3 linked regions of the Callithrix jacchus genome follow. The protein of the gene in region 3 purifies or fractionates together with the protein of the main gene of each other region. This does not show direct contact. Links are inferred from orthologs where the notes say so. Each region holds a gene or a part of one and is shown on either strand. Other genes may lie near its edges.

The links.
Region 1: the proteins of YAP1 (region 3) and ALB purify together in Homo sapiens (affinity purification with mass spectrometry, with the first as the bait; 3 studies listed by BioGRID). This does not show direct contact. The link is inferred for Callithrix jacchus from reciprocal best matches to the Homo sapiens genes YAP1 and ALB.
Region 2: the proteins of YAP1 (region 3) and NF2 purify together in Homo sapiens (affinity purification with mass spectrometry; 7 studies listed by BioGRID and IntAct, with this or other methods). This does not show direct contact. The link is inferred for Callithrix jacchus from reciprocal best matches to the Homo sapiens genes YAP1 and NF2.

Annotation. Positions count from the first base shown.
Region 1 is NC_133504.1:124,645,377-124,649,029, reverse strand, and holds part of ALB (albumin), read left to right. Parts: intron 1-160; coding exon 161-293; intron 294-1,414; coding exon 1,415-1,512; intron 1,513-2,679; coding exon 2,680-2,818; intron 2,819-3,400; coding exon 3,401-3,624; intron 3,625-3,653. UniProt on the Homo sapiens protein: Binds water, Ca(2+), Na(+), K(+), fatty acids, hormones, bilirubin and drugs. Its main function is the regulation of the colloidal osmotic pressure of blood. Major zinc transporter in plasma, typically binds about 80% of all plasma zinc.
Region 2 is NC_133502.1:200,273,534-200,276,995, forward strand, and holds part of NF2 (merlin), read left to right. Parts: intron 1-1,179; coding exon 1,180-1,307; intron 1,308-3,462. UniProt on the Homo sapiens protein: Probable regulator of the Hippo/SWH (Sav/Wts/Hpo) signaling pathway, a signaling pathway that plays a pivotal role in tumor suppression by restricting proliferation and promoting apoptosis.
Region 3 is NC_133511.1:37,427,839-37,431,491, forward strand, and holds part of YAP1 (transcriptional coactivator YAP1), read right to left. Parts: intron 392-3,653; coding exon 279-391; intron 1-278. UniProt on the Homo sapiens protein: Transcriptional regulator with dual roles as a coactivator and corepressor. Critical downstream regulatory target in the Hippo signaling pathway, crucial for organ size control and tumor suppression by restricting proliferation and promoting apoptosis.

The DNA of each region.
Region 1 (3,653 bases), on a different chromosome or scaffold from region 3:
TAACTTTAACTCTGGACCCCAAGTCCTTAGCTACTAAGTTTTACTGCCTGGGGTGTAGTCAAATTAAGACTTTTGGCATATGAGTTACTTTTGAGGTTAGCTTTGTGATTTTTGGTGCTAATTCGTCCAGTAAAGTCTATTTTATTTTCATCTTAATTAGGTTTTTGTATGAATATTCAAGAAGGCATCCTGATTACTCTGCCATGCTGCTGCTGAGACTTGCCAAGGCATATGAAGCCACTTTAGAGAAGTGCTGTGCCACTGCAGATCCTCATGGATGCTATGCCAAAGTGGTATGTTTATTGTTTGAAAAAAATGTAATTCTTTGACTGATGATTCCAATAATGAGAAAGAAAAATAATGCAAGAATGTAAAATGATGTACAGTGCAATTTAGATCTTTCCTTGAGATTATTTCAATTCTTCAATTCAATACTAAGGCTACTTTTCTAAGAAAAAGTAGCCTTAGAATGTTTAACAAAATGTAGAATAGTCTAGAAAAGAAAGATCTGAACAGAGCAATCTCTAAATAATTTTGATAATTTTTCTTTTATTCACAATCCTGAGAACAAAATAATTTAAATTTAAATGTTAATTAGAAGATATTTAACTTAGTTGTAAAGTCAGTTAACCTGATTCCAATATTTTTGCATTTTAATTGTTGGATCATGATAACATCCTTTTATCAAGTACTAGAATTAATTTCTTAAGGGAAATCGTAGAATATATACCTTTAGAATATTTTCAAATCTTTTTGAAAAAGTTTAGTAAATTAAGTTAGGAGCAGAAATCTGTTCTGGAAGATTTTTAGGGTCCCCACTATCATATGTAATGGTTTCAAAACTATTCAGAATAAAAGAAAACTCATTCTTTCCTCTATAAAGAAGCTACTGTATGCCAGGCACCATGCACAACCAATGACCAAGGTAAAATCTCTCATTTTGGAGAGCCCAGAATGTAACTGGAAAGAGGAACTAATAATAGTAATATGTATAATCATAGCCATTATTTATTAAACTTTTATTATAAGGAGGCAGTGTTTAATTTCATTAGCTTAATTCATTTACAGAGCAGCTCTGTGAGATGAGTACCATCTTTGCCCCTATTTTGGAGATAAGGATTCTGAAGTGTAGAGATGGTCGGTAAAATTGCACAGCTGAAGAATGAGTCAGGTAACTTGGCTCAAATACTGGTCATTGAACTCCAGAGCCTGAATATTCTTAGCCAGTTACAGGATGCAAGCTCTCCAAATAAACAGTTTGAATGTAATGTGACAGATGTGGCATTGATATTTATCTATTCATGTGGATTTCAGAAGCTAGGAGAAAATATATGGTTCTGACCAGAGGGGTGAAAAACAACCTGCATCTGATCCTCAGGTGTGGTACTATCAACACAATTCTTTTATGTTTCAGTTTGATGAATTCCAGCCTCTTGTGGAAGATCCTCAGAACTTAGTCAAACATAACTGTGAACTTTTTGAGCAGTTTGGAGAGTACAAATTCCAGAATGAGTAAGTAATTTTTATTGACTAATTCTTGATCAATTTGTACTTATTTAAGACTTAATATATGAGCCACCTAGCATAGAACTTTTAAGAATGAAAATACACTATATATTTCTAATCACTCTTTGTCACAAACGAAAGGAGAGGAGAGGTAAAATAGTTGATGGGTTGGAGAGGCTTATATTTCAATGTAGTCTAAAAATTGTTCTTAAGACTGGAAGTATGTCACCTGGGAGGGCAAATAACAAATCTTGGTATATCAGAACTGAGGATGTTCCTTGAAGATTAAGGAATAGTTAATGGACAAATAGAACATGGCAATATTTTGTAGAGCAGGAAGTAGTAGGCCTTGAATAGCAGTTGCTCAAAAAGTAATATATAAGCTGAAAAAAATATAGTAAAATGAATTAGATATTTGAATATTAAGTTCAAGTTCTTTGGGAGATGTGCCTAGTCTTTGCTGGTTAAACCTTATGTTTCTGTGGAATTTCTCTCCACAGAAGAGATAGAGACAGAATGGCTTGCTGGACTAATGTCCCAATTCAATAGAGCCTTACCTATGAAGGTAAAAACAAGAAGAGACATATTATACTGTAGATATTTATTGTGTGGCTCATACACATAGTGCTCTTCTGATTATGGGTTTTAGGGATAACAGTGAACAAGACATAGTTGCTTCCCTCAAGTAGATTACAGTCATATGTTGACTTTTAATGGTGATTGACATTCTTAATACATTATTATTATGTATTAGATACCATGTCAGATTAATTATGTTTTATTACTTTTAATTTAATCCTTTAACTACCCCTATTGAGTCAGATATATTTCCTCCCATTTCCTACTTGTATCTTTCAAATTTAGCATCTGAAGCTCTCTCCAGGTTTTATTGAAAAAAGAAAGAAAGAAATGTATGAATGTCACTGAATTAGGTAACTCACTTTCCCAAGATTATACAAGTGGTACAGCTGGAAGTCAAAGCCAGGTTTAACTAGTTGTTCAGAAGCAAGTTTTCCCCCCTACACTAACCTATTACTCTCAGATGGAGATAATATGACAAATGGAGCATAGGAACATTTTAGTTGATTCTGACCAAGTGTTCTCTGTTTTATTTTCTATGTTAGACAGTTTCTTGCCTGGCTGAAAACACATTGACTTCTTTTTTTTTTTCAGGCTATTAGTTCGTTACACCAAGAAAGTACCCCAAGTGTCAACTCCAACTCTTGTAGAGGTCTCAAGAAACCTAGGAAAAGTGGGCACCAAATGTTGTAAACAGCCTGAAGCAAAAAGAATGCCCTGTGTAGAAGACTATGTGAGTCTTTAAAAAACATAATAAATTAAAAACACAAAATTTTACCTTTAGATATTGATAATGCTGACTTTTAGGAGCATAAGGGAGTAATGTGTGTGTTCATGTTTTTGTGCGTGTGTGTGTGTGTGTGTGTGTGTGTGTGTGTGCATGTATGTGTGCTATTGGCAGCCAGGGCCCCAGAGATGATAAATTGTTTTTTAAAAATTTATGCATTTTCAGGGTTCAATCCTAATGTTCTCTAAATTTTTACTTTCTTTGGGGGATCTATTCTTTAATGTATCATTATAGGACTATTTCTTCTTCACTGTAACACATGTCTCAGCACATATTGCCTGAAATTATTTTCATCAATTGTTTTCTCAAGCAAATTATTCTTGAAATGTAGACATTTAATTAAAAGGAAGAGACTTTTGAAAGTCCTTATTTGTAGTTTAAACACAAGTCACTGCCTCAAATCAATTTTGGATTCAACATTGCTAGTTGAAACATAATACTTATTTTGGTGCACTGGAAAGTCAGAAGTTCATGGAAAATTTTCAGCTTTAACTCTTTTGAATTTTTGCTCTCCTGCCTGTTCTTTAGCTGTCCGTGGTCCTGAACCAGTTGTGTGTGCTGCATGAGAAAACACCAGTAAGTGACAGAGTCACCAAATGCTGCACGGAATCCCTGGTGAACAGGCGACCATGCTTTTCTGCTCTGGAAGTCGATGAAACATATCTTCCCAAAGCGTTTAATGCTGAAACATTCACCTTCCATGCAGATATGTGCACACTTTCTGAGAAGGAGCAACAAGTCAAGAAACAAACGTGAGAAGTATTTCATTACTGCACGTGTT
Region 2 (3,462 bases), on a different chromosome or scaffold from region 3:
GACGGTCTGCCTCAGGCCTTGAAAGTGTCTCAAATGAATGTGTCAAGCCTCTGCTCTTTCCCAGACACTGTCCTGGACTTAATAAGGGATACAAGGATGAAAAAGAGGCAGATCGTTTGCAGGAAACTTGCAAATAGTAGAAAGACACAGCCAAAAAGAAATCTTTTACAGGATGGAATCGCTGTAAAAAGAGCCATTAGAGAACCATAAACACAGCGTTAAGGGACAGCAAAGAAAAGGGTTGCTGGCTGGCTGGGAGGAGCTAGAAAGGCTTTGGTGAGAGACTGTGGTATTTGAGAAGAGCCTTGAAAGAGGGATGAAGTATAGGGAGGAGAAATGGGATAGGCAAGGGTACCGAAACGGGAAAGCAGTAGTCCAGGGATCTTAAAAAGTACGGTCTGGGACTTAGCAGGGCAAATCATGGGAGAAGCTGGGGAGCTAGATTGGGGCCCTCTTTAGAAGACCCTTTGTTCTGGGATGAAAGTAAAAAAAAATCTAATTTCATCACTCCTGCTTCAAGCCATACTCTGGTTCCATTGTCCAAGCCTAAACCCCTCGGTGGGCAGGTAGAGCCCTTTGTGGTGGTGCCCATCTCCCACCCCTCCTCTTCACATGGCAGACTCCTGGTACCCTTACTGGGCACTGCCCAGCCTGCTGCCATGCCTCCCACCGGCAAACCTTCTCCTGGCACTGCCTGGATTCCCAGCAAAAGCAGCATCTCTTCTAGCCTCTGTTCGCTTCCTGGCTACAGTGTTTACCTTATTTAACAGTGATGATCTGTGAACACATCTATTTCCTGAACAAGACTTTCAGCTGCTCAGAGCCAGGGACGATGTCTTGTTTTCAGCATCTCCAGCCCCTCACAAAGGGCCCAGGAGTTTCCTAAATGAAAAAGCAAGTGGGAGTTTGTGTTTGATTCAACTGAGCGTGAAGAATGGTTAAAAATTTGAAGGATGAGGGAGGATTTTCCTGGATTTATATTCTTTGGTATTGTCCACCTGGCAGTGGCAAATGTGGAGGAACTGAAGTGGAGGGATGGAGGCTTGTGGTGGCACTGGGAGGTGGGACCTGAGTTGTGCCCATCACCCTGTGGCTGCTGGAGGATTGGTTGTCAGCACAGTAGTGCCCTTCTGTTCTTGTATGACCCGAAGCTCCTAATCTGAGGTTTCTCATTAATAGCCCATGAACCCAATTCCAGCACCGCTGCCTCCTGACATACCAAGCTTCAACCTCATTGGTGACAGCCTGTCTTTCGACTTCAAGGATACTGACATGAAGCGGCTTTCCATGGAGATAGAGAAAGAAAAGTATGTAGCCCCTGTGCCCTGCTGTGGGCGGCCGTGAACTAGAGTGACGGGGCCCTTGGGAGGCCGGGGCAGAGGTGAGGGGTCGCTGCAGCAGCCTGCCATTAGCTCCTGCAAAGGTTTCCTCTGTTCTTACTCCCTGGAGAAAGAATTTCCTTAATCAGAAATTAAGGGACAACAGATCAACATTCATTCTTCCAGGATAAAAAAGACATTTGACTGGTGACCTGGCATTTATGGTGGCTCCAAACCTCATGTGAAGTGTAGGACTGGGTTGTTAGCATCTCCGGGTCGGTTCAGCTGCTGTTGTACTAGACTATGGTCGTCTCCTAGTTGCGTTCTCCAGTGACTGGGATCTGTGATGGTTCCCACGTCTAGAACAAACAAAGGTGAGAATAGACTCAGGCTCTAGGCTGAAGAAGGCCGACAGCCAGGTGGGGCCCACTTTGCTGCAGTGGGTGGCGCTTGCCAGGGCCCCAGCACGGCCTGATCATGGCAGCTTTTGCTGAGCTTCCCTCTCTGCAGCCTCTGTTTTCCCTTGATGGTAGTAGAATTGGGTCAGAGATGGAAAGGATCCCCTCTGCAGAGGCAGTCTAAGCAAGGGCCCCTAGTTCCCAGAACTCGCGGTAAACTGCCGCCGCCTGCCGGAGGACAACTACAGTAGCCGGCATGCATCGAGTCCCTGTGTGTCAGGGGTTTTGGCTTTTGTCCATTTAATTCCTACTAGTTAACAAACATCAAACTGACATCAAAGGTAGGTTTTCATGTCCCCATTTTCTAAGTGAGAACTCGGATTTAGAGAGTTTAATGAACTCCCCCAGCGTCACACAGCTGATGCAGAGGAGCCCTGGGGTTAAAACCCCTCACCCACCTGACTCTGCCTTCCATGTGCTTTCCCCATGGGTAGCATCCTCAGGAAAACCCTTTGGGGAAAGTGTCTCCATGGAGTCCAGCACGAGCAACCACAACCCAGGCTGTTTCTCTTTGGGCTCTCACACTTAGCCAGTGAACCAGAGCCTCTAGCCGTCATATCTGCTGTCCATGTTCCTTTCACTGTTATCCAGACATATATATTTATGTGGTTGGGACTGGGGATAGGGGTGAAGCTATTCTGTGTCTGCTATTTTATAGTTTGCATTTTGTTACTATCTTAATTTGTTTTGGCTACTGTAACAAAATACCAGAGGCTGGGTAGCTTACAGACAACAGAAATTTATTTCTTAGCCAGGCATGGTGGCTCATGCCTATAATACCAGCACTTTGGGAGGCCAAGGCGGGCAGATGTCTTGAGCCAGGAGTTCAAGATCAGCCTGGGCAACATGGCAAAACCCCATTTCTACTAAAAATACACAAATTAGGTGGGTGCAGTGTCACATGCCTGTGGTCCCAGCTACTCACAAGGTTGAGGTGGGAGGATTGCTTGAGCCTGGGAGGCAGAGGTTGCAGTGAGCTCAGATCTCACTACTGCACTCCAGCTGGGGCAACAGAGAGACACCCTGTCTCAAAAGAAAAAAAAAAAAGAAAGAAATTGATTTCTTACAGTTCAGGAAGCTGGGAAGGCCAAGATCAAGGCATGGGCAGAGGTAGAATCTGCCTGGTTCATAGTCGGCGCCTTGTCACTATGTGCTCATGCAGTGGAAGGGATGAGGGATCTCTCTGGAGCCTCTTTTATAAGGGTGCTAATTCCATTTGTGAGGCTCTACCCTCATGACCTCCCAGAGGTCCCACCTCCTAACACCTTCACATTGGCGATTAGGTTTCAACATAGGAGTTTTGAGGAGACACAAACATTCGGCCCATGGCACTTCTTACCCTTGCACATGTAACTATGGCAATCCCTACAGAGTGTTCCTTGATATTTGTGTTGCATGTTTTTCCTGGCCATGCCCTTGTAGTTGGACACTTTGTGGGTGGTTTCTAGATTTTCACCATCATAGATGCTGTCACTCAGTGTATCTGTTCTCAGGTGAGGGTGGGGATCTTTTTTTCCTTGCATTCCGTGAGCTTCTGAGTAAGCTTCTGTCATCTTCAGATGAAGTCTCAGAACATGTGGGAGTATGGATGTGGCCTATCAAAAGAAATCATGTGAGGCTGGGCGCTGTGGCTTATGCCTATAATCCCAGCACTTCCAGGCCAGGAGTTCAAGACCAGCCTTGGC
Region 3 (3,653 bases):
AAACTCCTGACCTCAAGTGATCTGCCTGCCCTGGCCTCCCAAAGTGCTGGGATTACAGGCTTGAGCCACCATGCCCAGCCAATGTAATTTTTTTTTAAACTAGGAAAAGACAAATTACAAATCACCATATAGAGACAAAACAGGTTCAATTTAATTCAGATTTACAGGATTTTAATTGGTTTTCTTCTGAATAATCTTTGCTTACAATAGCTTATTAGACTTGGTGATAACATATCTGACTATAAGTCAGGTTACCAAGAGGAATAAAGAATACCAACCTGTATCCATCTCATCAACGCTGTTCAGGAAGTCATCTGGGGTACGAGGGACACTGTAGCTGCTCATGCTTAGTCCACTGTCAGTACTCTCATCTCGAGAGTGATAGGTGCCACTACAAAAACATGACAGTTAAAGACCAACGCAAAAATTTAAAAAATCAATTCAAGGTAAAAATAAACACCTGCTGCGTACCAACATAACTCTCAAAGAGGATTAAGGAAAATTCCTGCCCCGAAATGTCTGAAACAAGCACCCTCCTTCAGGGCCACAGACAGGGCTTGTGCTATGAAGTGAAACAGACAAGTTAATCCTAATTGAAACTGGCAGCTCTAAGGAGCCAAGATTTCTCCTAAGGTGTTCTGTGCTTGGTGACAATAAGGGACCAAAAAAAGATATTCCCAGTTAGTTTTTCAGGCTGACAGGAAATTCTCTGCATGTAATATTCTCTCTGTAATACCATCTGCATGTGGGGGTGGGGAGGAACCCACATAACTGACTTGTTCCAAGGTCTCGATTCTCCAGGTGGTGGTGGTACAGAAAGAGAGGTCAAAACACAAACTCCAGGTGGGCGAGGAGACAGGTCTGCACTAGATTCAAGTTAAATTCCTAGCTCTTATGCAGAGAACTTAAGCCAAGGAAAAATCAACCCCAAATAAAGCACCAAAATTCCTTTTAGGACTGAGCCAAAACAGATGAGTCACTGCTGATGAGATAAGAATACCCGTGGCTTCATCTCCTTGTTTCTGTGTTTGGGTGGGGGAAGAAAAAGCCCCAAACACTTCAGTACAAAACAGGAGATCATATAGCTCCAGTTAAAGAAAAGAATGAAACAAAAAACTGCAAGGCACATCCCTTGAAAATAACATGACCCAACACAGATTTTCACTTTAGATTAAATAAGGTTTCCAAGATTTACATAGAAGTATGGTAAATATCCATTACTCTGATAAATAGAACACTTTCCTAAGCTAGTAACACCTATGCATCAGCTGGCATTCGCTGAGTTCTACTCACTTCTACTCACTTCAGAAAATCTTACAGAAAAGCATAAAATCAAGGCAATTGTTATTCTTCAATGACCTGTGTACAGGAATGTGAACTTTAACTTTCTCTACAGTTTGTGTATTTAATAAGCAGGTATTTAACTTACATAAAAGTTAAAAAATAAAAACAAGTTTAACAATTGCTCAAGGCTAAAAGCTCAGTCAGTACCCCAACTGCTTTCCCTAAATGACGCAATGCATTTGCCTTGTTCTCTTTCTCTAGCCTCATTCTATACACCGCAATCACTGGTTTACTCTAATGCTTCTGCCAGGTTTTGGCAAGGCTCAAAAGCCTCACACAGATCCAAGAAAACACAAATTTGCCTCTGAGACCACTGGTATACAGTGCAGCCATGTATGAGAAGGCCTCAGGATGTGGTTTGTTTGTATTTTGCCTGCCCTGATCTGGGACAAAGGCCTGGTCCTAGTCATCACTCTATTCCGCTGCTAAGCATGGGACACACATCAGACATTTTAGTCTGTTACTGAATAGCTGAACTTAAAGAGTTGTGCAGAGTTCATTCCAAACCACTGGGGAAGCACATGGGCATTCCTGAGGGCAGTGTTTACAGAGCCATTTTCCTTGGGACAAACTGCTCCCTGCAGAACCCCACCTTCTACAGGCCCCACTCATTCAATAAACATTCACTGAGCATCTGCTACTATATGACAGGCATTAGACTAGGCTTTGAGGATAAAGAGGTTAACAACCACCACCACCTACAAACAATGCTTTGTGAGAGGCTCACAACTTCAAGGAGGGACATGAACAAATACACTAATGAATCATATACAGGGGTTATATGAACTATGTAAGCACAGTGCTTTCAGAACAAACAGGGAGCTTGAAAGTAAAGGGTAAAAGTTTCATGGAGGGGGACATCTGAGTGGGCCTTGAGAGATCTCAAAAGTAAAAGGGAGATGAGGTGACTGTGCATTACTACTAGCAGTCAATGCCATGGCAAGTTGGGGGAAAAAGGATTTAGAGCTTAAGGAATGTATATATAAATCAAATAGTAAACAAGACAGTAACCATCAAGAGTGTTTTGTTTGTTTTTATAAGATGGAGTTTCCCTCTTGTTGCTCAGGCTGGAGTGCAATGGCATGATCTCGGCACACTGCAACCTCTGCCTCCTGGGTTCAAGCGAGACTCTCCTGCCTCAGCCTCCTGAGTAGCTGGGATTATAGGCATGTGTGACCACATCCGGCCAATTTTGTATTTTTAGTAGAGATGGGGTTTTGCCATGTTGGTCAGGCTGGTCTCAAACTCCTGACCCCAGGTGATCCACTTGCCTTAGCTTCCCAAAGGGCTGGAATTACAGGAGTGAGCCGCCACACCCAGCCAAGAGTTTTTACATTTATCTATTTAGAGATGAGTTTTGCTCTTGTGATCCAGGCTGGAATGCAGTGGGGTGTGATCTCGGTTCACTGTAACCTCCGCCTCCTGGGTTCAAGCGATTCTCCTGCCTCAGCCTCCAGAATAGCTGGGATTACAGGCATGAGTCACCATTCCCAGCTAATTTGTATTTTTAGTAGCGATGGGGTTTCACCATGATGGCCAGGCTGGTCTTGAACTTCTGACCTCAGGTGATCCACCCACCTCGGCCTCCCAAAGTGCTGGGATTATAGGCGTTAGCCACCGTGCCTGGTGAGTTTTTGTTTTTAAGGGGGGGAAAAAAAGTCAAAGTCAGATGTATGCTTTAGAAACGGGGGGTACAGAGAATGGATACGTAATTCTGTCCTTAGATTAGTAACATTGATATCTGCCATGGTGATCTTCCCAGAAAACAGAATATCAAATTGTAGCCCAGGTCTCATCAAAAGTTTTAAGAAAAAATCTTTATAAATGACTGTCAGAAGGATATGCAGCCTATCCACTTTTAAAATGGTCTAATTAATACCTGGTATTAATATAAGTCCTTCAACAAGACAGGTACTAGAATTACATGAATATGAAATTCTCCTTATTAGAAAAAAATAAAGTTCTGAGGCTATGAACTTTCTTAATTAGCCTCAGTTTAAGTCTAGAACTCTAATCTTATATAAATATGTCTACTTTTAGACAGAAATTTAAACTGTATGTCAGAAGAATAAATACAAACTTAAAATGTATTTTAGATGGCTTTCAAACTCAAACCTTCCAACTAGGCCACCAGCACTAATCTTAAAAACTGGGTAAATGGTAAATTCTATTGCACTAAATATTTTTAGCAGGGTAAGATATTTTTCTCTTGGAATTACTAAGTTTCCGATTCAATTGAAGAGAATCAGAAAGGCGGTATAATAGTTTTCCTAACGCAAAGTATCTTTAAATATTTAGGTAACTGTTGT